Linked DNA regions of Danio rerio. The protein of the gene in region 2 interacts with the protein of the main gene of each other region in a pairwise test. Links are inferred from orthologs where the notes say so. Each region holds a gene or a part of one and is shown on either strand. Other genes may lie near its edges. The genes, in order: nkapd1, bend7, smarca2, ppp1r37, eaf1, eaf2 and psmf1.

What was found.
Region 1: the proteins of bend7 (region 2) and nkapd1 interact in binary tests that used the Homo sapiens proteins (3 or more experiments, as listed by UniProt). The two-hybrid records come from large-scale screens. The link is inferred for Danio rerio from reciprocal best matches to the Homo sapiens genes BEND7 and NKAPD1.
Region 3: the proteins of bend7 (region 2) and smarca2 interact in binary tests that used the Homo sapiens proteins (3 or more experiments, as listed by UniProt). The two-hybrid records come from large-scale screens. The link is inferred for Danio rerio from reciprocal best matches to the Homo sapiens genes BEND7 and SMARCA2.
Region 4: the proteins of bend7 (region 2) and ppp1r37 interact in binary tests that used the Homo sapiens proteins (3 or more experiments, as listed by UniProt). The two-hybrid records come from large-scale screens. The link is inferred for Danio rerio from reciprocal best matches to the Homo sapiens genes BEND7 and PPP1R37.
Region 5: the proteins of bend7 (region 2) and eaf1 interact in binary tests that used the Homo sapiens proteins (3 or more experiments, as listed by UniProt). The two-hybrid records come from large-scale screens. The link is inferred for Danio rerio from reciprocal best matches to the Homo sapiens genes BEND7 and EAF1.
Region 6: the proteins of bend7 (region 2) and eaf2 interact in binary tests that used the Homo sapiens proteins (3 or more experiments, as listed by UniProt). The two-hybrid records come from large-scale screens. The link is inferred for Danio rerio from reciprocal best matches to the Homo sapiens genes BEND7 and EAF2.
Region 7: the proteins of bend7 (region 2) and psmf1 interact in a two-hybrid assay, tested with the Homo sapiens proteins (2 studies listed by BioGRID and IntAct). The two-hybrid records come from large-scale screens. The link is inferred for Danio rerio from reciprocal best matches to the Homo sapiens genes BEND7 and PSMF1.

Annotation. Positions count from the first base shown.
Region 1 is NC_133190.1:24,179,335-24,181,497, forward strand, and holds the end of nkapd1 (uncharacterized protein NKAPD1), read left to right. Parts: intron 1-832; coding exon 833-1,244; 3' UTR 1,245-1,663; downstream 1,664-2,163.
Region 2 is NC_133193.1:9,572,772-9,576,271, forward strand, and holds part of bend7 (BEN domain-containing protein 7), read right to left. Parts: coding exon 3,374-3,500; intron 697-3,373; coding exon 565-696; intron 298-564; coding exon 14-297; intron 1-13.
Region 3 is NC_133180.1:46,069,891-46,073,390, reverse strand, and holds part of smarca2 (probable global transcription activator SNF2L2), read right to left. Parts: intron 1,041-3,500; coding exon 798-1,040; intron 687-797; coding exon 573-686; intron 1-572. UniProt on the Homo sapiens protein: ATPase involved in transcriptional activation and repression of select genes by chromatin remodeling (alteration of DNA-nucleosome topology).
Region 4 is NC_133193.1:52,033,762-52,037,261, reverse strand, and holds part of ppp1r37 (protein phosphatase 1 regulatory subunit 37), read right to left. Parts: intron 3,089-3,500; coding exon 2,922-3,088; intron 1,462-2,921; coding exon 531-1,461; intron 1-530. UniProt on the Homo sapiens protein: Inhibits phosphatase activity of protein phosphatase 1 (PP1) complexes.
Region 5 is NC_133191.1:7,236,221-7,239,720, reverse strand, and holds part of eaf1 (ELL-associated factor 1), read right to left. Parts: exon of another isoform or gene 2,932-3,500; intron 2,380-2,931; exon of another isoform or gene 2,183-2,379; coding exon 1,976-2,182; intron 1-1,975. UniProt on the Homo sapiens protein: Acts as a transcriptional transactivator of ELL and ELL2 elongation activities.
Region 6 is NC_133184.1:24,619,797-24,623,845, reverse strand, and holds the start of eaf2 (ELL-associated factor 2), read right to left. Parts: upstream 2,801-4,049; 5' UTR 2,696-2,800; coding exon 2,593-2,695; intron 2,119-2,592; coding exon 2,024-2,118; intron 1,942-2,023; coding exon 1,805-1,941; intron 1,700-1,804; coding exon 1,536-1,699; intron 1-1,535. UniProt on the Homo sapiens protein: Acts as a transcriptional transactivator of TCEA1 elongation activity. Acts as a transcriptional transactivator of ELL and ELL2 elongation activities. Potent inducer of apoptosis in prostatic and non-prostatic cell lines.
Region 7 is NC_133181.1:54,454,113-54,457,612, forward strand, and holds part of psmf1 (proteasome inhibitor PI31 subunit), read right to left. Parts: intron 1,682-3,500; coding exon 1,493-1,681; intron 1-1,492. UniProt on the Homo sapiens protein: Plays an important role in control of proteasome function. Inhibits the hydrolysis of protein and peptide substrates by the 20S proteasome. Also inhibits the activation of the proteasome by the proteasome regulatory proteins PA700 and PA28.

The DNA.
Region 1 (2,163 bases), on a different chromosome or scaffold from region 2:
TTGTTACAGAATTTTTATTATTCACCAAATATATATATATATATATATATATATATATATATATATATATATATATATATATATATTAAAATTTAAAAAAGCAGTCATGTTTTAATCATTACTCAGTACATATATACAATGCTGTACAACTATAATGATTTTTGTAATGGCTCTTAAAAGTTACCATAATAGCAAAACATGTAAATACAAAGGTTAAAGGTCCCTGTTTTCATTTTTAGTAAATTAAATAAATAATTTTAAATAGATTACATAGAATACAGTGTGCAGCATGATTGAGTACACCCCTTTTTGAATATTAATATTTTTTTCCATTTCTCAGTGAATATAGGCAATGTATTTTGGTGCATTTAAACAAAACAGATTTATTGAACAGATATATTTATTAAAATAATATTTTAGTCACCACACATATTTAGAAATTAAAAGATAATGCAATTAAATTCATGCAAAATATTGAAAAAAATCTTTATACATTTTACAATTTTATACTAAATTTTATACATTTTTTGTTTCTCTTGATTTTTGCTATTTTTAAAAGTGTTTTTAAATGTTTTTCCCTGACATAAATTTGGGCTACAAATTTTTAAACTATTATAGTGAGTAATTTTGTTAGATAAGCTCCAAATTTGGCTTCAGTACTGACTAAACTAATGTATATGCACAAATATAATATTAGATAGATAGATAGATAGATAGATAGATAGATAGATAGATAGATAGATAGATAGATAGATAGATAGATAGATAGATAGATAGAACTAAAATATTTTAATTTGGTTTGTTTAACTCTATATTATTCATTTTTTTCCAGAGAGAAAGCTTGCAGTGATAGTAAACATAGAAAGAAAAAACACAAGAACAAACTGAACGCTGACTTGGAGAAATCTTCCAAGAAGTCATCTAAGAAGAAGAAAAGGAAGAAAGAGAAGAAGAAAAGGAAGACGGCGGCGCCTGGCTCAGAGACCTGCAGTGATGCAGAGGAGACCGTGAGGAGGAAACAGAGGAGAAAGGGGAGTAAAAGCAAACATAAGAAAAAAGAGCACAAAAACAAAGACAGAACTGAGGACAGCAGCACAGAGGACAGCCGTTCAGACACAAAGCCAAAAACCCACAGGAAAAGAGAGTGTCCTGAAACAGACACACTGACTGAGCCTCAAAGGAAAAAGAGGAAAAACTGGAAAGTAGCGAACGAGGAGAGATCAGAGGAGAGCTCTGATGCTTGACCTTTCAGCTCAACTACACTCTGCTTTTAAAAATGTGCATCATGTTCATTTTGCGGAGACTCTTGCTCATTCATCTGGAGTCAGTAGATCAGTGTTTATCCCTCATTGATGGCTTTTTTCCACCATGTTGGCATCCAGGAGAACTTGTCTGATTTTATGAGGTTATTTTCAATTTTTTTAACCATTTTCTTATTATGCTTGTTGTCAGACTGAAACATTTTAAATATAATAGAAAACTCAGGGAATTCTGTAACGTGTCTGATTTTTATAAATATTCTTGTATTCATGTCATACTTTCATACTCAAACCTGCCAGTCACAATAATACAGTGTAGTTTTGTTTTCCAAACAGCATTAGTGTTTGTTAAAGGGACAGTTCACAGAGAAACTTAAATTTGCTCTTAATTAAAAAAACGTTATGGAAAAGTTTTTGGTGATTCTGAAAATGCAAGTCTGCAGCTAGTAGCACTTTGAGAGTCATAAAAACATCCAAGCAAATTTATATTAATTCCCTTGGGTCCTGGTGATACATTGAGGTCTTAAGAAGCATAACACAACACTTACATTATTAAATTAAATTACTTTGCTTTCTATATGCTTGGTTTAATTTCAAATGAATCACTAAGGACAACGGTTTCAGCTAAACATTTTTTATTGTTATACTAAGGTAAATTAACAGCATATTTGCTTTTTGCCCTGGCAGAACTAATCCTTCCAGTTTCAGTACACTTGAATAGTCATCATACTACAGTTGCCCGTTAGGTGGCGCTGTTGCACTGCATCAGACCATCATCTCAAAGCGGCTAGCTTGTCTTTTAACGACCTGTTTTTACTCAGTCACTTGTAAACACCTACGGTAAATGCTATTATTTCTACTGTTTACTTCCATTTACTGATAATGGCTACTTCCCCTTGCTAAT
Region 2 (3,500 bases):
CATTCAGATTCACCTCAGTGTTGTTTTGTCCTCCGCTGACGCTGTAGTGAGGGGAAGTTTTCTTTACAGTGGGAAAGTGGTCTGGTGTAAATGTAGCCACAGTGGAGGGCGTGTCCTCTCTGGACTGATCACACTCATTCACAGCATCCGCAGAAGGGGAGGGGGGCGTGGCTCTCTTTGTGGGCGTGACCAGAAGAGCCACTCTGTGACCCAGCCTCCTCTTTCGGCTCCTCCTCCTGGAGATGGAGGTTCGAGACGAGGAAAGCGAGACGTGAGAGCCCTGTTTGTCCTGCAGCCCTGAGAGCACAGCACAGCATAGAATACCACGGGTCATTTTTCACTCACATTCTTGTTATGATAATCTTTGTGTCATTTTTTGGTGGTCAAACGAGCATCAATGTGTGGATGCCAAATAGACAGCAAGGTTTTTAACCTGTTTTTTGATGTCGTTGATGATCCTACTGGGATAATGCATTTAAGGCTGGTCAAAATCTTGTGACATTTGCTTTAATCTGCAAGATCCTGAAGGGTCAGTCTGAGAGCACATGATTGAGTGTGTTTTACCTCTGTGAGTTTGGAGTAGTTTCCTCATGGTGCGCAGCTCCAGCAGAATGGCCTTCAGGGTGCTCTTGCAGTTGCACATACAGCAGCTGGGCTCTGTTGCCATGGCAGCAGGCGCGGGGGGCAAGGCCATGTCTGAATCACAAACACATATGCAGCATCAGTGGCGATGTCTGACACCCGGCGGCTCCAAGCACGTCTGACTCCGGTGTGTGTGTGTGTGTGTGTGTGTGTGTATGTATGTGGCTCAGGCTAACTGTGAGGGAGGTTTTGTGTCTTTTATTGTGTACTGAAGGAGGACATTACGCATTTGCTGTGTTATCCAGAGCTGTCTAGACATGTGTCAGACAGTGCATCTTCCTGCAGCCTGTGGTCACAAAATGCAAGGTTCAAGTAATGTCTTACTGTTTTTAGCAGAGGCAAGACTTAAAAATCATGAGATAAAATAAATAAATCAGTCATTTCTATGTAGTTTAAGTTGGAGTACCAATAGTTGAAAGAAAAAAAACACACAACAAAATTAAATGATGAAAAACATTTAAAGAAACTCTAAATATTAACTATATATATATATTTAGAATTTTTAAAATGTAAAATTTAAAATATCATTATTTTCATTCATTTTCTTTTTGGCTTAGATGCTTTATTAATCAGGGGTCGCCACAGCGTAATGAACCGCCAACTTTTTCAGCATATGTTTTACGCAGCGGATGCCCTTCCAATCGCAACCCAACACTGGGAAACACCCATACATACACGTTTGCATTACACACATACACTACAGACAATTTGTTTTATTCAATTCACTTAAAGCGCATGTCTTTGGACTTGTAGGGGAAACCGGAGCACCTGGAGGATACCCACACTAACACGGGGAAACATGCAAACTCCACAAAGAACTGCCAACTGTTCCAGTTGGCGTTTGAACCAGCAACCTTCTTGCTACCCACTTAGAATACACCCAAATACAATATATGAAAGAAGGCATACAAATAAAACTACTAAATTAAGAGTTCATATTTTTAAACATGAATAAACACAAATAAATTCTATAATAAATCATTTATATTATCTAATTTATAAATCATTCTGTCATTATTATATTACTTAATAATATAGAGTAATAAACCAAAAATTGCAATATTTAGGTTGAAAATGGACTCTTTCAGGGTTTTAGTTATTTGCCAAGGCAACATTTGCAATTTTGGTTTAGTTTTCGTAGAAGTGCAAACATTACTACAACTGAAAATGACTAAAAAAAGACTTAAATTAAATAAACAACAGAAAAAAACAGAAAAACACATAATACACACTAATTAATTAAATAACTAAAAACAATATAAAAAATTAAACATGAATTAATGATATAATACCACATAATGCATTATAATAATAATAATAATCATCAATGTAGCATAGTGGGATAATAAAGGGACTAGACCAAAGAAAAATGAATGAATGAATGAATGTATTTAAATATGTATACAAATGTAATTAAAATACTTGTCTGAAGAACAGAAGGCTTACAAATATAAATACTAAAATAAGACTTCATATTTTTAAATATGTATAGACCAGAAAAAATTCTAGAATAATTTATAATATTGAATAAATTATTATTTCATTAGTATATTACTTAATTAATGATAGACCTTGTACTTGAACCTTTTGTGGATTGCTTATCATCTAAAATCCTAACAACTTGTCTTAAAAAAGTATATTTACTCTTTCTGTATTGTAGTTATTTGTCAAGTTTATATTAAGAATATAAACTTGACAAACGGCAGAGAACATTACAAACACTGAAAATAACTAAACTAAAAAATAAATATAATCAAAGAAACAAACAAATAAACACCAAAACAACAAAATAGTCTGAAATTAAATTACAAAATATGTAAATAAATGAAATCAGCAAAATGCCATAAATGCCATATTAAAAAATAATGAATTATAATAATAAGTTACAAAATGCTTAAACTACGGAAGTGAGGATTTATGAGCTATTATAGTGACAAATGACATAATAAAAAATTATATACAGTTTAAGTCATAATTATTAGCCCCTCTTTGAATTCTTTTTTTTTTTTTTTTAATATTTCCCAAATGATGTTTAACAGAGCAAGGAAATGTCACAGTATGTCTGATAATATTTTTTCTTCTGGAAAAAGTCTTTTTTGTTTTATTTCAGCTAGAATAAAAGTAGTTCTTAATTTTTTAAAATACATTTTAAGTACAAAATTATTAGCCCCTTTAAGCTAACTTTTTTTTTGATAGTCTACAGAACAAACCATCGTTATACAATAACTTGCCTAATTACCCTAACCGGCCTAGTTAAGCCTTTAAATGTCTCTTTAAGCTGTATAGAAGTGTCTTGGAAAAATTCTAGTAAAATATGATTTACTGTCATCATGGCAAAGACAAAATAAATCAGTTATTCGAAATGAGTTACGAAATCTATTATTTGTAGAAATTTGTTGAAAAAATCTTCTCTCTGTTAAACAGAAATGGGGTAAAAAATAAACGGGGTTAATAATTCAGGGGGGCTAATAATTCTGACTTCAACTGTACATAAAAATAAAATAATTATATTCATAAGTTCCTAAATGATGATACTAAATGCTTAAACTACAATAGGGATTATTTATGAGCTATCATTATTACTGTGTCCGGTCCTGGTCCTGGAAGACCAAAGTGAGAATTTAACAGCAACCAGCTACAGCAAATCTTTCTGAAAGTCTCTAATAACAATTTGCATGTGTTGAATTGGGAATGGACAGGTCTGGACACACCTCTGGTCTCTAAGACTCACCATTAGTTTTGCAGTGGTTGAGCATCCTCTGTGTTTTGGATCGAGTGCTGTACTGGCTTTGAGAGAGAGGCATGACTGAGCTCCAGTTGTACTGCAGATGTTCAGGGGTCGCGCTGTGTATCACAGG
Region 3 (3,500 bases), on a different chromosome or scaffold from region 2:
CAATGTTGTTTTTTGTACATTAAATGTTTTTAACAAAATCTCATACATATTGCACTTAAAAATCTTAAAGGGCACCTTATATATATATATATATATATATTTTTTTTTTTACTTATTGTTGAAAATGTTTCAACTAAGTTTCCATGAAAATCCGCCATACAGTCTTACAGTTATAACTGTCCCTTTGAGGGCAGCCTAATGCTAAAATGGCCCTCAGTGAAAATTAGTTTGACACCCTTGTTTTAGAATTATGCATTCTAATGTTATAGTTCTTGGTGGCCTTTACAGTATTTCACGATATCTGTGAAAATGCGTCAACACAGTATGTGAAAAAGGCAGTGACTATGTGTTGATTTCTGTGTGCAGTGAACCAAAGCAGACAGATGCTAAATGTCACTGAATGCTCTTTTCACTATCAGCTAATAATAAAATACATACACACAGACACAGACACAGACACAGACACACACACACACACACACACACACACACACACACACACACACACACACACACACACACACACACACACACACACACACACACACAAGAGACAAAGTGGATACACTTACTTTCTCAGGTAACTGAGACTCCACCTCTTTCTTCAGTCTGCGCAATAAGAAGGGACGCAACACCTTATGCAAACGACGAATGATGAGGATGGTCTCCTCTTCATTCAGATCCACCTAACAAACATCAGCGCAACCCCATAACCAAGAAAAAAAGTCATTAAAATACAGTGTAAGACGTAAAATAGACATCTCTAAATCTCTAAAGATTCAAATATGACAGTTTACCCTTTCTCCTGTCATTGCAAAAGGAGCATTGAACCACTGCTCAAAGGTGCTGCAGCTTTTGAAGATAGTGGGTAAGAGGAAGTTGAGCAGGGCCCAGAGCTCAGGTAATTTGTTCTGCAGGGGAGTACCAGTGAGCAACAGCCTCCTGGGAGCAACGTAGTGGGTGTTCAACACCTGTGTGAGCTTGCAGTGATGGTTCTTCATACGGTGACCCTCGTCCACAATCATATACTTCCAGCGAATCTGAAAATGACAGTTCGGCAGTCACAAACTGGATTAGAAGATCAACTCACAGGTATTGCAAAAGCAGACGCGTCACATTCAGCTTAAAAAAAGCAGTCCAAAGGATGTAATTTAATCACCAAAAGAAATGACTATGAGATGGAATAAAGTGTCATAAATGACTTTGAGAAAAAAGAGAAAGCACAATGCATATAATTATAACTCTCCATATGAGGCATATAGACTTCATTTAAGCCACAGAAAGCTTGCTAAAAAGATCTTCCAGCAAATTCCCCAACCTAGAATGACGTTAACAATGATATGGGAGAAATTGTTAGTTAATGTGAGAGGTGATCTGTGGTCATTCATTCATTTCCTTCAATTTAGTCCCTTTATTCATCCGGGTCGCCACATCAGAATGAACCATCAACTTATCCAGAATACTGAATGTTTTACACAGAGGATGCCCTTACAGCAGCAACCCAGTGCAGGGAAACACCCATACACTAACGCCTGTTTCACACCGCAAGCGTCAGCGGCGCGTGAGCAGAGCGTGAGCAGCGAGTATGTCGAGCAGTAGCAGCACGCAGGCGTTTGCCTTTCACACCAGCTGCGTCTGCAGCGCGCAGCTCTTCGGCAGCTGCTGCAGAGATCAACCTATCTCTGTCTATTCTATCTAGTTACCTATGTCTCTCTATATACAAATACACTTTTCAAACTTTTCATCTGCACCAAGGCCCCTCCTATGCTGTTTCTTTAACCGGCAAATGTTTATTTTACAAATTCTATAGATCAAATAGTGCTGTATGCTTCTCAATCTAACTTATATAAGAAGCGTCTACAGTCAGAAGACAATCGCCTGTGATATCATGTCATTTGTTTTTTATTATCAGGTTGCTGTAGACCTAGTTATAATAATATTTATACAATATAGTTATAATGATATTTATACATGATCAAACTAGTGTTACTTTCTCCGCTTCAGTGATGTCCAGCGGCAGAAAAACAGCTCGTTAATTCATGCTCGTGCAGAGGATGAGACGGACGAAAGTAACCAATGCATGCCATTCTTTTACTTATTTTCGTGTTGTCAGATTCAGAGTGCAAAAAGCTCCCGGTAGGAATAACTCGAGTAAACATAAAACAAAGCCGATAAAAACTTTCTTGCTCTGCTCAGCTGCACAGAACACAGCGAGCTCACATCATCCAGCATGCGTGTCGAACTACACTACCCACAATACACTTCGCTATGGACTACAATTCCCGTAAATATTCTATTTCCCCTCTCCTACAACACTAGTGTGCAACTTAAGCAAAACTGATACTAAAATTGTTTTACATTTGGTTTTGTAGTTCGGGCCTAAATAAATGTTTGTTGCCGTTTTTAATCGTTTTAAGTTCATTTGAATGACTATATATAAACCATTGGACATTATTAACGCATTTATTGGGTAAAATTGCTACTTTTTACTGTCATTCAATGTGTTTTGGTCATTATCAAAGCACTGTCACTTTAATTGAGCGTGAGCAGCGCGTCAAAAATAGACCCAGCGCCGAAACTATCGCTGCACTGCTGCTTCGGCGACGCTCACGCCTCGCTCTGACGCGCTGCTGCTGCGTGCGGTGTGAAAGCTCTAAGCTGTTAACATGGACGCCGAAAACACACGCGCTGCTCACGCTCTGCTCACGCGCCGCTGACGCTTGCGGTGTGAAACAGGCGTAACATTAAAGCACATACACTACGGACCATTTAGTTAATTCAATTCACCTATAGCGCATGTCTTTGGACTGTGGGGAAAACGGGAGCACACAGTGAGAACATGCAAACGCCACACAGAAATGACAACTAAGCAAGCTGGGACTCAAACCAGCAACCTTCTTGCTGTGAGGTGACAGTGCAAACCACTGCGCCACCGTGTTGCTGCAATCTGTGATGCAGTAGGATTTGGAATAATGTCTTGAGCTTGGTGCTTGGGAGAAAAGCCTGAGAGGCATCATTAGGTGTTTACACAAGAAAAATGATGTTTAAATTTTACAGATCTTAGTTCTTAACTCTTTTCTGGTATGCAAACCTCTTTACTAGATTAGTGGTTTCTCTAAACTTCCAGAGAATGAATCAACTGATGAAATGTACCCTACTGCCGGTAGGGATGGGTACCGAAACTCGGTATTTTATCAGTCTTGGTGCTAAATTATAAAAGACCGAAGAATCAATAAGCTCTGATGTTAACGGTTCTGCTATCAGTACTGGAGAATTATTGCTGAATAAACATTATTTACAGCAAAGAGCTTAGAATGACCAAGAGGCGACACTCTGGTGTAATTTGGGAAACAGCCACTAGAGGGCGGGGCGGCCATTTTGGAATGAAAACACCAATAGAACACCATGCATATTATAAGTCTGTAAAATAAACTATTAAAAGTGCCGATGTTCGTGATAATACGTGTTGTATTGTCGTCTTTCAGGTTGTATCTCAACTT
Region 4 (3,500 bases), about 42 Mb from region 2:
GCCGGTGTTGTCAATCGGACGAACCCTAATACGTACATAGCAGAGCTTGCAAAACTGTGTTTGTTTTTTTTCGAAAACACGAAGGTTGTCAACGTAACTCACTGGAAATCCAAAATGCTTCCACACCGGTGACTTCATTGAAAAAGGAGAGGGTTTAAGCTTTGTCTCCTGCTTCAGCAGTTCAACAAGCGTGTTTTTTTCCCGCTTGGCAAGCCAAGCTGACGTGACATGGGGGCGTGGCAGCATCGACGATTCTATTTTTTGATTTGATAATCGAAATTAAGCATAAATTTAAAATCGAAATCGTGACACCCCTATTAAATATGTTTCAGTAGTTTCTGTTATTTAATTATGACACATAACTAATTTTTCAGATTTGTTTAGTTTTATTTTCATGTGTGTATTGTTTGGGTTTTTACCAAAATCTGCTTCAACTTCATGTCGACAGCTCCTCTAGAAAAAGTTCTCCCAGGAGTAAACATGACAATGTGTTGAAAGCTTATCGTCAGGTGAATGCAGCGTGAACTCACCGTGCTCCATGATACAGCTGGCTGGTTTGGCTCCCTCAAACTCAAACAAGGCAAACTCTGGCTTCAGACCGTTGGGCAGCGGCGCTCCTGTGTTTGCGTCTTCATTTATATCAGCTTCATTGTTTAGTGTTTCTGCTTTCTTCTGCTCCTCCTCACTGACACTCTCTGTCAACTGAGTCTGGTCAATATTAGCATCCAGACTCGGTGTGCTTGTGGATACTGAATCCTCCTGCTGTGCATCTGGTGTCTTTTCTGCATGCGATTTCTCTGTGGGTTGTGTTGAATTCTGCGTCTGCGAAGGTGCTTTTATATCAGTTATTGCTGACGGCTGGATGCTTTTGAGCATTGCGATACTCGTCTGCTGCTGCTCGGGAGGGCTTTCCACACGGGTTACCATGAAGATTTTGTGTCCTCTTCCTGGACTGGACACTGAAATACATCGTCCAGGAGATGACGGTGTGACAATGCTGGCTTCTGTTACTGTAATTCCTGAAATGACGGCTGGAGATGCTATAGGAGGAGTGGAGGGGATGGTTTTACTGGTGTCTGCTGCAGCTGGAATGGGTATTGGAGATGTGGATGTTAATGAAGTGTTTGTTGGCGTTTCTTCATCTTCAGTGTCTGAATCTGAATCATCCTGCGGTGTTGATTCCTGATCTTTGGGCTCTTGGTTTTCAGACACTTCACTGCTCTCCTGGGTTGCATCTTTCGGAGCGTCTGTGGTTTCTTCTTCGATTTTCTTCAAAGGGGATGCTTCTTCTTCTTCTTCTTCTTCGTGGGTTTGGTCCTCAGTGGCGATTTCTGCCATTGAAGCCGAGAGTCTCATCTTCTGCTCGGTTTCTTCCTTCTCTCTGGCCAATATGAAGTTCCTCTTGCAGCCGTTCTGGATGTCGGCCAGCAGGGCGCGCTGTGTCTCAATGAAACTCTTCACCTGGAAACACAGATGCAGTGCGGGGATGCAATAAACAGTGTCAATGTCACACACCTGCTGAACACTCGTATATATAATTACCTGTAAAAAATGTAAACTGCTTTTATTTTTTTAAAGAAAAAGATTTCCACAGGCGGCTAATAGTTTTGCCTTCAGCTGTATATCAATACACATCACCAGTGGTGTGCAGTAAAAAAAGAGAGGTGCTTCTGATGCCTGTGTGTCAGCATAGTGGCAGATTCAAAAACAAGACTATCATCCTATGCTAATGAGGGAGAGATGGTCACTAGTGGGCGGGGCTTTCCCCCTCTGATGACACGTACAAAGGGAGAATGCCAACCAGCAGACTGTTTTAATCAAGTCTAATTAGGGGCCAAGCGCCGTAGGTGTGTAGGCAACTATTGCTTTCGTTAGCGTTCCTATTATTATTATTCTTCTTCCGTTTCTTCCGCCGGATTTGAATGGCAGCCCATATAGGCATATGCGGGAAAGTTGTATAATTTGGCACAAGGATAGAGGACAGTCTTAACATTAATCAGACCAAATATGAAGTCTCAACATCAAACTCTCTAGCGCCACCACTGGTCCAAACTTTCACGTGTATTTATCATGATAACTTTTGAACCGAATGGGCTACAATCAAAATTCTATTTTTTCCTCTGATTCCTTGGCTCAGTCCGATACAAACGCATCCTACGACGTCATTTTCTGTCATGAATTTTTTCGCACTTTTTAAAATTTTTCGAAAAACCTATTTGATTGAATTCGTCCTAGGCCGTGTCTCCGATTTTCACCAAAATTTAAACACATGATCTACAGACCATGCCAACCCAAATTTATGGAATTCAAGTTGATTAGACCACATGTTTTCGTTTAACTTGCAATCAAATGTAACGTAGAACTTGCGAAAATGGATTTGAGGCGATATCTCCGTAACGCATTCACTGATTCACACCAAACTTGGTGTGTGTTATGACAACTAGGGTCTGAGGTTATATGCAGAGTTTCGGCGAACTGCCCCCTAGTGGTCCGGAGATAGGAAAAAAATAGCTTTTTTGGTTTATAACGTCTCAACCTTTCGTCCGAAACTCATAAAACTGGTCTCATTACATCCGGCAGAGCATGTCGAATTTTCACAGGTCAGCCATTTTGGGCATCGCCCATTTCGATTTTTGGCCAAAAATGCTATATTTTAACAACATATTCACATATCATTACAAAACATGGTATGCATCTTCAACCCCATGCCCTGAAAGTACTCAAAAACTTCTGGAGCAGCGCCACCTATTTATAAATGATTCACTTTTACCATTAGAGGATGTTTAAATTCACACAACTGTTTCAACCCCTTACAAAAGTGATTTTTGCATAATTTAAAACCAATGGTTCATGTAATATGTTAAAGTTGCCTGTCTGTATTAGCTCAGTCCTGCTGTATATGAGATTCTCCCAGCTCTCACCGTCTCCTTCTTGGGCTCTCGGTCCAGGTCGAGTCTCAGTAAAGACGTGTTGACTTTAAATGCTAGAGAGAGAGCCATGAGGCCTCCGGTCTTGATCTCGTTTTCTCGCATGTCCAGCCGGAGCAGCCTTGGACTCTCAGCGATGAACTCTGCGATGGCCACCGCTCCTGTTACACACACACACACACACACACACACACACACACACACACACACACACACACACACACACACACACACACACACACACACACACAAACACACAAACACACACAAACACACACACACACACACACACACACACACACACACACACCCGCATGCACGCACACAAACAAACACACACAAACACACACACACACAACAAATAAAATATTAATTATAAAATTATAATTTTTTATACATATAAACCCATTTTAACAAACCCTAAATACACTGCCTAAAAAACTATAAAAATAAATAAATAAATAAAAAATAAAAAAAATTAAAGGAAAAGTAATTATAAAAAAAAAATTGTAAAAAAGGGCTGCCAAATCTTTTTAAAATAAAAAAATAAAATAAATAAATAAATAAATACAT
Region 5 (3,500 bases), on a different chromosome or scaffold from region 2:
GATAATGTTCAGAATTGTACGCACGAACCCCACGTGGAAATTTTTCTAGTCTGTGTTTTAACCAATCAGGTTAGAACACCTATATGTATGCCGCAGTTAATGACGTTATGGGAGAGTATAATTGTTATTGATTGGTGATTGTAAGCAGAGCGGCCTAGGAACTTATTGCGAGTGTTGATGCTGGCTTCTGCGAATGAAACTGCAAACTATCTTCAGTAAACTTGATTTATTTATTTAAATATCTGACTCCGGCTCTTCTTCATCTACCAGACTGGTCATTCTTTGGGTTAAACTATCCCTACACTCCCAATATTCCATTGGAAATAACAAACTTATGAGCGCAAAAGTATAGATATGTGAACAGCATGTTTCATGGCAGCATCACAAAGAGGTCTATGATCTATGCATGACAAAAAAATCTGTAGACACATAGAAAAAAAATCTGTAGACACATAGAAAAGTACACGTGACTACTTCTGATATGTGCTCAAGCAGAACATTGGATCCTTACTTGAGTCTGACGACATGCACGCACACGCAATTTTTGGAGACAATTTGTTACACATTTACTACGAGATTTTTTGTGTGTGTCTGTTTTAGAGACATGTTACAGGTCTTTGATATAGATGTAATTGTTTTCCTTTGAAAATATGTTTTAGATTCATACTGTAAAACAGGGATCACCAAACTTATTCCTGGAGGGCTGGTGTTCTGCAGATTTTAGCTCCAACTCTAATCAAACACAAAACTATGGGACAGTTGCTAGGGTGTGGCTAGTAAGTTGAAAGGTCATAAGTGATTGGCAGATTGCTAGTGAGTTAAATGAGCACAACCTTAAGTCTGTAAGACAGTCTGGCGCAAAGTTATGAGATCACAAAGTTTGGTCCAATATTTAAAAGTTAATCAAGGGCTGTTTCTCAATTCCAAGAACGCAGAGAATGGACTTGCGTTCTTGTGGAGAGCGGTCTTGCCAGGTGTCTTCGGAAGAACGAACTCAGGAGACCGCGAGGGCAGAGAACGCGTCCTTTAAGAAATGGGATGCTGCGTTCTTCCTGATGGTCACATGACCTTCACGCGTTTTAAATGGAAATTATTTAAACATTACAACATTCATATAACGATTTATTGTTTTCCCCCTCTTCAAAATATATATTTTGCATAAAAACATTATAAATATACTCTGCACAATATAAATAAAACAGATTTTAATACGAATTTCAGCAAACAAACACCCTTAATGTGTTTATTCCTTTATTAAGATGTTCATGGTGATGTTTACTTTCACCATTTCATTTAGGGAAACTCCTGCGGTAAATAAGTGATATCTCTGAACATTAATAATAAATCTAAATAAAATGCTGCGCTTCCCACCTCCAGTCGCAATGACTTCTGGGACTTCCAGAGCGAGTTCGGTGCTCAAGTCTGTATCAGTGCGTCCTCGATATCAAGATCACATCCAGGAAGTTTCACGCGTCCTCCGTACTTGCGGTCTTGAGTATTGGAACTGAACTTTGGCAGCTGATAATGACGTTACACAAGAACACGAGGTTGCAAGGCCGCTGAAGAACCGATTGAGAAACAGCCAAGGTCTTAGTAGGTATACTTGAAACACCCAGGCAGGTGTGTTGAGGTGAAGTTGGAGCTAAACCCTGCAGGGCACCGGCCCTCCAGGAACTGGATTGGTGACCCCTGGTGTAAAACATCTGTGTGTGTCAAAATTGTTATTAAAATCAAAATCTTAATATTGTTCTAGAAAATCGTGTTTCTAAGGTTTGCCATATTACACATCCCTAATTTGTAGCTCTGCCCTCTTGTAAAAAGAGCACAATCTCATTTGAATTTAAAGCGACAGTCACCAAAGTGGCACAGTTGGGATCAAAACCTATTAATTATTGTTATATCCTATTTGCACAACATTCATAGTTATATTACACTGTATGCTTGTCTCGTGTGGGTAATATATATGTTTTCTTACGGAGTGTGTTCATCAGCTGGTTGTTGCCTTGTGATTTGTTCATTCCGTTGGCCATGTTGTTCCTGCTGGGCGAGAGATGTGTTTCCTGTTCTCCATCGCTGCAGGAACTGTCGTCATTCCCGCTGCCTGAACAACTGGCAGATTCTGAAGAGCTGCTGCTGCCACTGCTGCTCATCTGCTCGATCATGTCCACCTCGGCCCGCAGCTCTGACACACACAGATCAAAAACACTGGTTCAATTCAGCAGAGTCAGAGAAAAAGCTACATCAACACTGCAGACGCACAATATATGACCCTGGACCAAAAAAAACTGTCTTATACAGGGTATATGCCGAGCTGGTGTTGCTCCCATAATGATAAACGTCTGGTGACCTGTTATTGTGAGTTTTTTTTCCATTTTATATGTAATGTAATGTAATGAGTATTTTTATATAGCGCATCTTAATGTGTATGTCCGTACACCCAAAGCGCTTCACAATCATGAGGGGTGTCTCCACACCACCACCGGTGTGCAGCATCCACTTGGATGATGCGACGGCAGCCACAGGACAACGGCGCCAGTGCGCTCACCACACACCAGCTATTGGTGGAGTGGAGAGACAGTGATAGAGCCAATTCGGTGGAAGGGGATGATCGGGAGGCCATGATCGTAAGGGCCGATAGAGGGACTTTGGCCAGGACACCGGGGTTACACCCCTGCTCTTTCACGAGAAGTGCCATGGGATTTTTAATGACCACAGAGAGTCAGGACCTCGGTTTAACGTCTCATCCGAAAGACGGCGCCCACTGACAGTGTAGTGTCCCCTTCACTTTTACTGGGGCGTTAGGACTCAGGACACAGACCACAGGTTGAGCGCCCCCTGCTGGCCTCACTAACACCACTTCCAACAGCAATCTAGTGTTCCCTAGTGGTCTCCCATCCAGGTACTAACCAGGCTCAGCCCTGCTTTATATATGGTTCCTTTTACAGCATCAATGTTGTAATGTAATTCAATACATTCAGTTAAACAGACTTTGGTATTCACTTAGTTACTCAAGCGTAAAATGAGACAAAAACCTGTTTACTCGCACGTGACCAACAGAATCGGCAGGATAATGCAGAAGCTCCATTGAATATACTGGAGTAAAGTGAATGCTCTTTTTATAAAGACATGGCGGTGAAAATGTAATTTAATGCAGTGCTTCTTGTACAATCTCAGACACACTTTATATTGGATATCACTCAACCAATGGAGATCGCTGATTTTTAAAGAAAACAGACCATAAACGCATTTGATTTTGCTTTGGCATACAGTTCACCGGAAGCGGTTAACCCAGGTTACTGGCAAATTAAAAGTCCTATTGGCACGCTTCAGCATATACCCTATTGCTAGGCCCACACGGAATCTGCACGCGCAGAATTCCGCAGATTTCTGCAGATTTTTAGCCCATCATTAATTCAGTTTATTCACTTGAGTAAATGTGTAAATCTGAATTCATTCAGTTTTTATTCAGTAATGTATTACTTTTTATTTCATATATTAAG
Region 6 (4,049 bases), on a different chromosome or scaffold from region 2:
CCATCCATCCATCCATTCATCATCTATCTATTCATCCATCCATCAAACTTTTTTTTTTTTTTTTTTTTTTTTTTTTAGAGAAAATGAGTATAAAAAATGCACTTTTATGATTTATTAATTTTTTTTTTTTATGGTTGTCTCCTTCAATATTTCAAGACCAGGAAAAAATATAAAGTTGTGTTATAACCTTGTAATACCTCTACAGCAACATTAAGAACTGTACTTACTAGGTTCAGATGGTTTTGAGGGACAAAATTGAAAAAGATTTAATAATCCAGGACTATTACACTAAATCGATCACAACCATCATAATTATTGTTAAATGAGGAAACACTTTAACTGTCATTTCATTGTATTATGTTTATATCTCCACAATTTGCATTAGATTTCTTTTAGAATAACTAAATCACAGTCATTTGAGACCACAGGCTTGCAGTATAATCAGGGTTTCTTCCAATCATTCCATATCCGTTTCCAAAAAAAAAAAAAAAAAAAAACGGAAAACGGATGTTTTTTGGTTTTTCTTTTGCTCACAAAAACCTACATTTTGGCTGGATTTTCATTTTTTATTTTAGGGGAGGAAAACGGATCAATGACTTTAAAATTCATTAAACACATGTAAGCAGTGCTGAAAGCCCTTTTTCCTCTGATTGGCTAACCAAGTCTAAGCTCATGACGTCGCCCTCAAAATAATAGTCCTCTGAGGATCTGCACCCAGGCTTTTTATCATTATTATTTATTTTATATATAAACTAAGTTTAAATATCCTAGTATTTAATCAGTTAGCAGGCTTACATTCATTGCGTATGCATAAGTTAAATAAAAACATAAATTAGCAGTATAGTTACACATGTCATTAAAAGAAGGCAATAGTTCGTAGCAAAACGTCTTGCTGCTGTGCGCCTGATGCCGAGTAAAGATAGCCTTTTCTGAGCATAACCTAGTTTGCATTATTGTTTCAGAGCTACTGTAGGCCTAAATAATAATAATAATAATAATAATAATAATAATAGTAGTAGGCTTATAATAAATATTATTGTTTACTTTGTGTTTTTTTATTGTCTAGTTTTTTAAATAATTGTTAGCAGGACCAGAACAAGAACACATTGGGCCCTAGGGCTATAACAAAAGATACCATTAGTTTTTTTTACATTTTTATTTCCTCTTATTTTAAATATATATATATATATATATATATATATATATATATATATATATAGGACTATTGTTTTGAAGACAACGTGATGAGCTCAGATTTCATTCGTCAGATGAAAAAGGGCGTTTCAACATCGCCTACATGTGTATAATGAATTTAAAAGTAGTATCCATTTTCCTACAATAAACCCCAAAAAAAAAAAAAAAAAAAAAAAAGAGCCAAAAGTTTTCCCTTTTTTTCAAACGGTTTAAAAACAGATATGGAATGGACGGAAGATACCATGAATCAATATAATATGTGGATCAGTTATGGATGTGAAACTGATGATTTGTTGCAGGAATCTTTTTTTTTTTTTTTTAATTTGGACCAGACATGTTACCTCGCTCAATATCATCCATAGGAGATGATGGAGACATCTTTTCTTTGGGAGGAGAGCTCTTGGTGCTGGATGGAGCCTTGCTTCCGCTACCCGTCTTCATCTGCTGGCTGAGTCTGCTGGTTTGTTGCTCCAGCCGTGACTGAATCTTACTGCTTCCCTCAGCCCTGGACAGAAAAGAGAATTTGACAATTTATTTACTTCACATACAATTCAAAGGATTAGAAGGAAGCATCATATTTATATGACTTGAAACTCAAAAGTGTTTTTACCTGGTCTTCTTGACCGCAATGTTGTTGCTGAGTTTCTCCAGACGATACTCTCCTGTGTCATGGTTAACAATCAGAATACACTCCTTCATATAAGGCCTTTTAGAGCCTTTAAATACAGTAACTGGTGCTGTGGATCCCTGAAAGGGTTGATTGGAGAGAAAAAGACTCAAGAATCATTCATTTTACGTACACTTCAGAATGTAAGGTTATGAAACCTACTTCCAAGTTCGGTAATGTGATTGTAACTTGCTCTCCTTTTCCCACTTCCAGCTCCCCCTCACATGTAGTGTCTATGGAGGCTGGTTTGAAATCATCTGTGTCCAGGAAGAACATATTTCTTGATATTCAGGTGTGCTATTATTACTGACACGTACAGTACACAGTAAAACAAACATCGTAGTATCATTGCAGAACCTACAGAGGGCGCGTGTTTCCCATGAAAGATCATTATTCTTCATGAATTAAATGGCTCTCAAAATTTCATTAAAACGACAAGTTTTCGACTAACAAAAAAGGCTGTTTATTTATAATAGTTTTCGTTGTGAGCACAAAGACAGGATGCTTTTTTAAATGATCCCCAAACAACATACAAAGCCGAGTTTAAGCCAGCAAGGTGGAAAAGCACATAGCTGCCTCCTGATATGCCTGTGCGTTTTCTTTGAAAACAATATATGGTTTCGGTGTTAACTTAAAAAACACCTCGTTTTCTTTTTCAAAATATGACTCACATTATCGTGTTTATATGATCATTTTGAAATACCGCTAGCAATATAAAAGATGCAACTTACATCGTACCGTGTGGAATGCACTTTTAGGTTGTTTCTCAAAAGTTTCGCCTAGTTTGAGGACGTGTTCTTGACTGTCAAAGTTTGAATATGCTGTTCCATTCATTCTAATCCAAATTTTCAACCATATATTAGCGATTTTCAACTTTCTGCTTGGTTTGATACCATCTAAGGCAGAAATAGACGCCTCACTTCTGGACCCGTTGCTCACGCTTGCTACGTTGGGATTGGCTGTGTTACTGCACTTGGTCACGCCTCATTTCGTTCACTTCTTGTCTGTAATTGGTTTAGAAGACAATCAGTCGACGCTGACGTAACGTTTGACGGAAGTGCCCATCTTTTCCCTTACACGCGTTTACACGACTGCACTGGTGCCCTCTAGTGTTCCCTAAGAATGCTTATTTGTATTTGTGCAGTTAACGATGACAAGTAAAAAAGTCTTGTCAGTTAAGAAAAAATAAAAATGACATGTTGAAACGTAGTTTGGGTCTAAAATAAATATTTTAAGGTATGTTCCAAACGGGTAATTTCATTAGCACAGACAATAAAATCATAATTCCTCATAAAATATTAAATTATATTAATAGATTATATGCCTTGCTGTGTTGGAATCGTTTTCTCTTTTCCCCCAAATATGTTTTGTTTCTTTAATAAAATCGTGCAGTTTGTTTGCATTGACGCAGAGAGAGTAACGTTATATGGGGTCTTCTGCTATCTAGAGGTCGCCGATTCATTTACGAGCAGCGCGTGTGTGGAGGAGAGAGACCGTCGACATGTCAACTCTACTAAAACAAATATCTAATGTAAGTATGATCATACACTACACTGTCATTTCTCCTGTATCTTTATATTAATGAGTCGGTTGTAAAAGTGACACGTTCATTAACGAAGCGGAGGCTAAATAAATGAATTGTCCCGTTCACTTCATATTTTGAGCGAGGGTTAACCAGCTTTCTGTCAGCTTAAGTATTTGTTATTTTCAGTTTAATGTTCACGGAATACCGTATACTAGGTTATCTTCAGTGTCATTCATCTTAAACGTAAAACTATTTCCATGAAGTCCACTGTTTCTGAAAACCTCAATAGAGATGGAGATTGGTTCAGCGGGAGCATGTGATGTAGGGAATTAGCAGGTTGCTGGGTGACTGTCTGTAAAACAAAGAAAAACATCCTTTGAGATCTAATATGATGGGGTGAAAATGAAGTCTGACACTACTTGTCATTAGATTAGATTAGAGATTCTGTATTTTATGCTGATCTGATGCTGAGTTTTAGATTCCATCTGTAAATGCTTGTAGCTTTATATATAATTGCATTTGAAAAAAGTGTGTGACCATGAATCAAGTAATGATGTAGAATCAATGAAAACATTTCCATTTCTGCACAAATTATAGGTCACACATGACATTTATTATGATTTATTTTACAGCTCTTACATATTTATTTACCAGCTTCAGAAA
Region 7 (3,500 bases), on a different chromosome or scaffold from region 2:
ATGCCCAATTTAAAGCATAATCTGAAAATAAACATCATTATCGTTCATCTATGTGTTTCTCAACAGCGTTCCTGGAGGACCACCAGCTCTGCACATTTTCTGTGGCTGTGTCTGACATCGCCTACTACTCAGTGGGTACTACATTTGAATTTAAATTTACTACTCGACCATTAGAAAAGTATGTTCTATACCAGGGGTGCTTGATCCTGTTCCTGGAGATCTACCTTCCTGTATAGTTTAGCTCCTACCCTGATTAAACCCACCTGAACCAATTAATTAGAACCTGAAATCCACTTAATAATTACAGACAGGTGTGTTTGATAAGGGTTGCAACTGAAATCTGCAGGAAGGTAGATCTCCAGGAACAGGATTGGCCACCCCTGTTCTATACAGTATGAATGGGAGTAGTATGAATGGAACTCGGACGTACTACATCCGCCATCTTGTCACGCTTTACTCCTATTAATGAATTCTCTTGCATCATGGGATAGCGCAGCACAGGCCCGGATTGGCTAATTGGGAGGACCGGGAGAATTCCCGGTGGGCCGGTCCGTTTTTTGGCCGCGAGGGCCGGTGTCCCTAGCTGCAGAATCTGTTGCTCTCAGCAGTCACACTTTTTACATTTATTTATTTACTTGACCACAGCCTTTCTATTCATTATTCTACCGCAACTGTTCTCTTTTCATCTAATTTAGTTTTGTCTCCTCTCTCAACACAGCTAATTTGGTCCAGCGGTTAGCACGTTAGATTAAGACGCTGCGGACCCGGGTTCGATCCTCGATTGAGTAACTTATTGTTTTCATTTTTATTGTTAAGACATATAATACTGTTAGGGTTGTTGAACATTTGAAGTTCTAAAGCAGCTGTTTTCTCAAAAAAAGACGTGATGGTGTCATTAGAAACTGATTTGGAAATGACCTTATTTTAATATAGTCAGTCGTGAACTGAGGTGGGCCGGTCTGAGGCTTGAAACTCCAGGGCTGAAAAGGAGTCCCACTCCGGCCCTGGCGCAGCATGCATAGGATGCGCACTTCAGAATCTCCCCGGAAGTAGTAAGTCATCTGAGCACTTCTCGCATACTGTTTTTCAAACTCTATGAATTCTGGCATACTACTTGGCTCGCATGCTGTTTTTAGTATACTATATAGTATGGAAGTATGTGATTTTGGACCCAGCTCATGTCTCTTTAACCAAACACACCTGATCATCAGCTAATTAGCAGACACTGAAAAAGCAGTAATGGGTGTGACAGACAAAGGAGACATCCAAAACATGCAGTGTTGGTGGTCCTCCAGAAACGTGGTTGAGAAACACTGTTCTATGTGGACACATATTTATATTTATTGTTTTCATGCTTGAGGTAAATGGACACTAAAACTAAAGCATGATGCCGTGGAAGTTAATTAGGACCCATTTAAAAGGTGACACTGCAAAAAAAATAAAAATAATAATAATCAATGCACAATTTGTATAAGAAAATAGAGAACTTCACCAGTTTGCAGGGTGTCTGGCTGGAGGGCCTCTGGTTGGGATCAGGAGAGGATCACTGTCTGGGTCCCTTAAGTTGGATGCTCGTTCTCTTTCTGTCTTCTTCTCTGTCTTTCCTTGACGCTCCTCTTTTTTGGAAGGCAGCAGCGAGGACTTCAGTTTCGCAGTCAACTCATCTGTGTTCTTAAACACGCTGAAAGAAAAACACAGAGTGTGTGAATGAATACCTTAAATCATATTAAATTGACAAAAGTGATTGTAAAGCATTTTAAAGGTACTTTGAATTTAAAGTTTTAAGATGTTGGTATTAGTATGATAGTGTTCAGGGTTATTTATAAGCTAGTGTGCTCCACTGTGACAAAATTTGCATCATGCAGTTTGACACTTCTGACTAACTGGATCAACAATTATTTTTGACATCCCCTCATATTTCAGTTTCTCATTAAATCTTCTGACCAATCAAATGCTTTCTAATATCTAAAAAGTCCCGCACCCTTAAAAACACTTCTCATTTGCTTTTCATTTGATGCACTTGAGCTCGATCACTGGCAGAGCTTTAATAAAAATTTAACGTTATAGGCTGTTTTTTTTAAAAAAGGGAAGGAGCTACTCTGTGTCCTGGGGTCCGTTCTTCGTATCTCGTTTAAATGATCTAAGATGATTTGGCAGATCCTGGATCTTTTCATCTCGATAACTGATCTCTCGCTAATTTGGTTCTTCAAACATGTTCGCGAATCAGATTAGAATGTCTGGATGAACTGATCTGAGATCGCTGTGTGTGTTGTGAAGGACAGATCTATCGATCCTCGAAATCATGATCAGCAATGCAACGATTGGCTGACGGCACAGCATGGTAATGACATCATCTGATTAATATTTAATTATCCATGTGAGCAAAATTACATCAAATTAGCAGTAAATGGCTTGTTGAATATGAAACGCAATAACCTTCCACATTTGTTGTGAGCTGCAGGCTTTACACTTTCATGTGTCAAGAGTATTCTTCATGTATTTCAATGCAAATCAATGTATTTAGTTCTACATTTAGAAAAGATTTTCTTTATTATAGTAGCCGTTTTTTTAATCGGTGTAAAGAATAACTGGATGTTTACAAAAGCATTTTGACATTGGTAAAGGCGTCTGCAACTTTTGTGAAGCATCAAATCACTGGCATAACTATCAAAACATGTTTATGACTGCATTAATGTATTACTGCTTTAAAAAAAACTCCATTGTACTAAAGCGATCTAAAAAGTTTAATCAATAAGTTTTCACTTCACACCACCAGGGGGCAGTCTTTGAACTTTCATTTTGAGGGTGCAGATTGCATAAGTTTTATTAATATATATAACTATATTTATTTTATTAATAACTATAACTTATATATATAATATATATATATATATATAGTTAAAATATTTACCATTTTCCCAAGTGTATACAACTACTACTGTAAGAAAATATCAGAATTCGGAACATACTTTATTATCTTTGCTTGAACTGAGCCGGTTCTAATCCTGTTTATATGAATTGAACCTGCCCCCGATCAGGTTTGACCTAGCAGAACTGTTGCTTTGACAACAACTCTTGGATCAGCTTTAAAGAACGAAACGATCCTGGATGTTGTCAAATCGTCAATATCCAAATCCAGCTAACTGAGTAATCCACGTACGAAGAATGGACCCCTGCCCTGTCTTCATGTTTCAGTTGAGATCAAACATCGAATTAAAAAAACTTACATTTCAAAGGACTTCATGGGAAATATAAATGCAAGTCTTTACTTTCATACGTTTGTGAAAATAAAATATTTTTGGCAATGTATAAAGGTTCAAAATGACTCGAGAATGTTAGAGTCATCAAATGATTCTCGTTCTAAGTTTGAGTTTTTTTCAGTATATTTCTTCAGATACTTTCTACCGTTCTATGATTCATGATGTGAGACAGTATATGGCACATTCATTCATTTTCTTTTCGGATTAGTCCCTTCATTAAACAGGGATCGCCACAGCGGA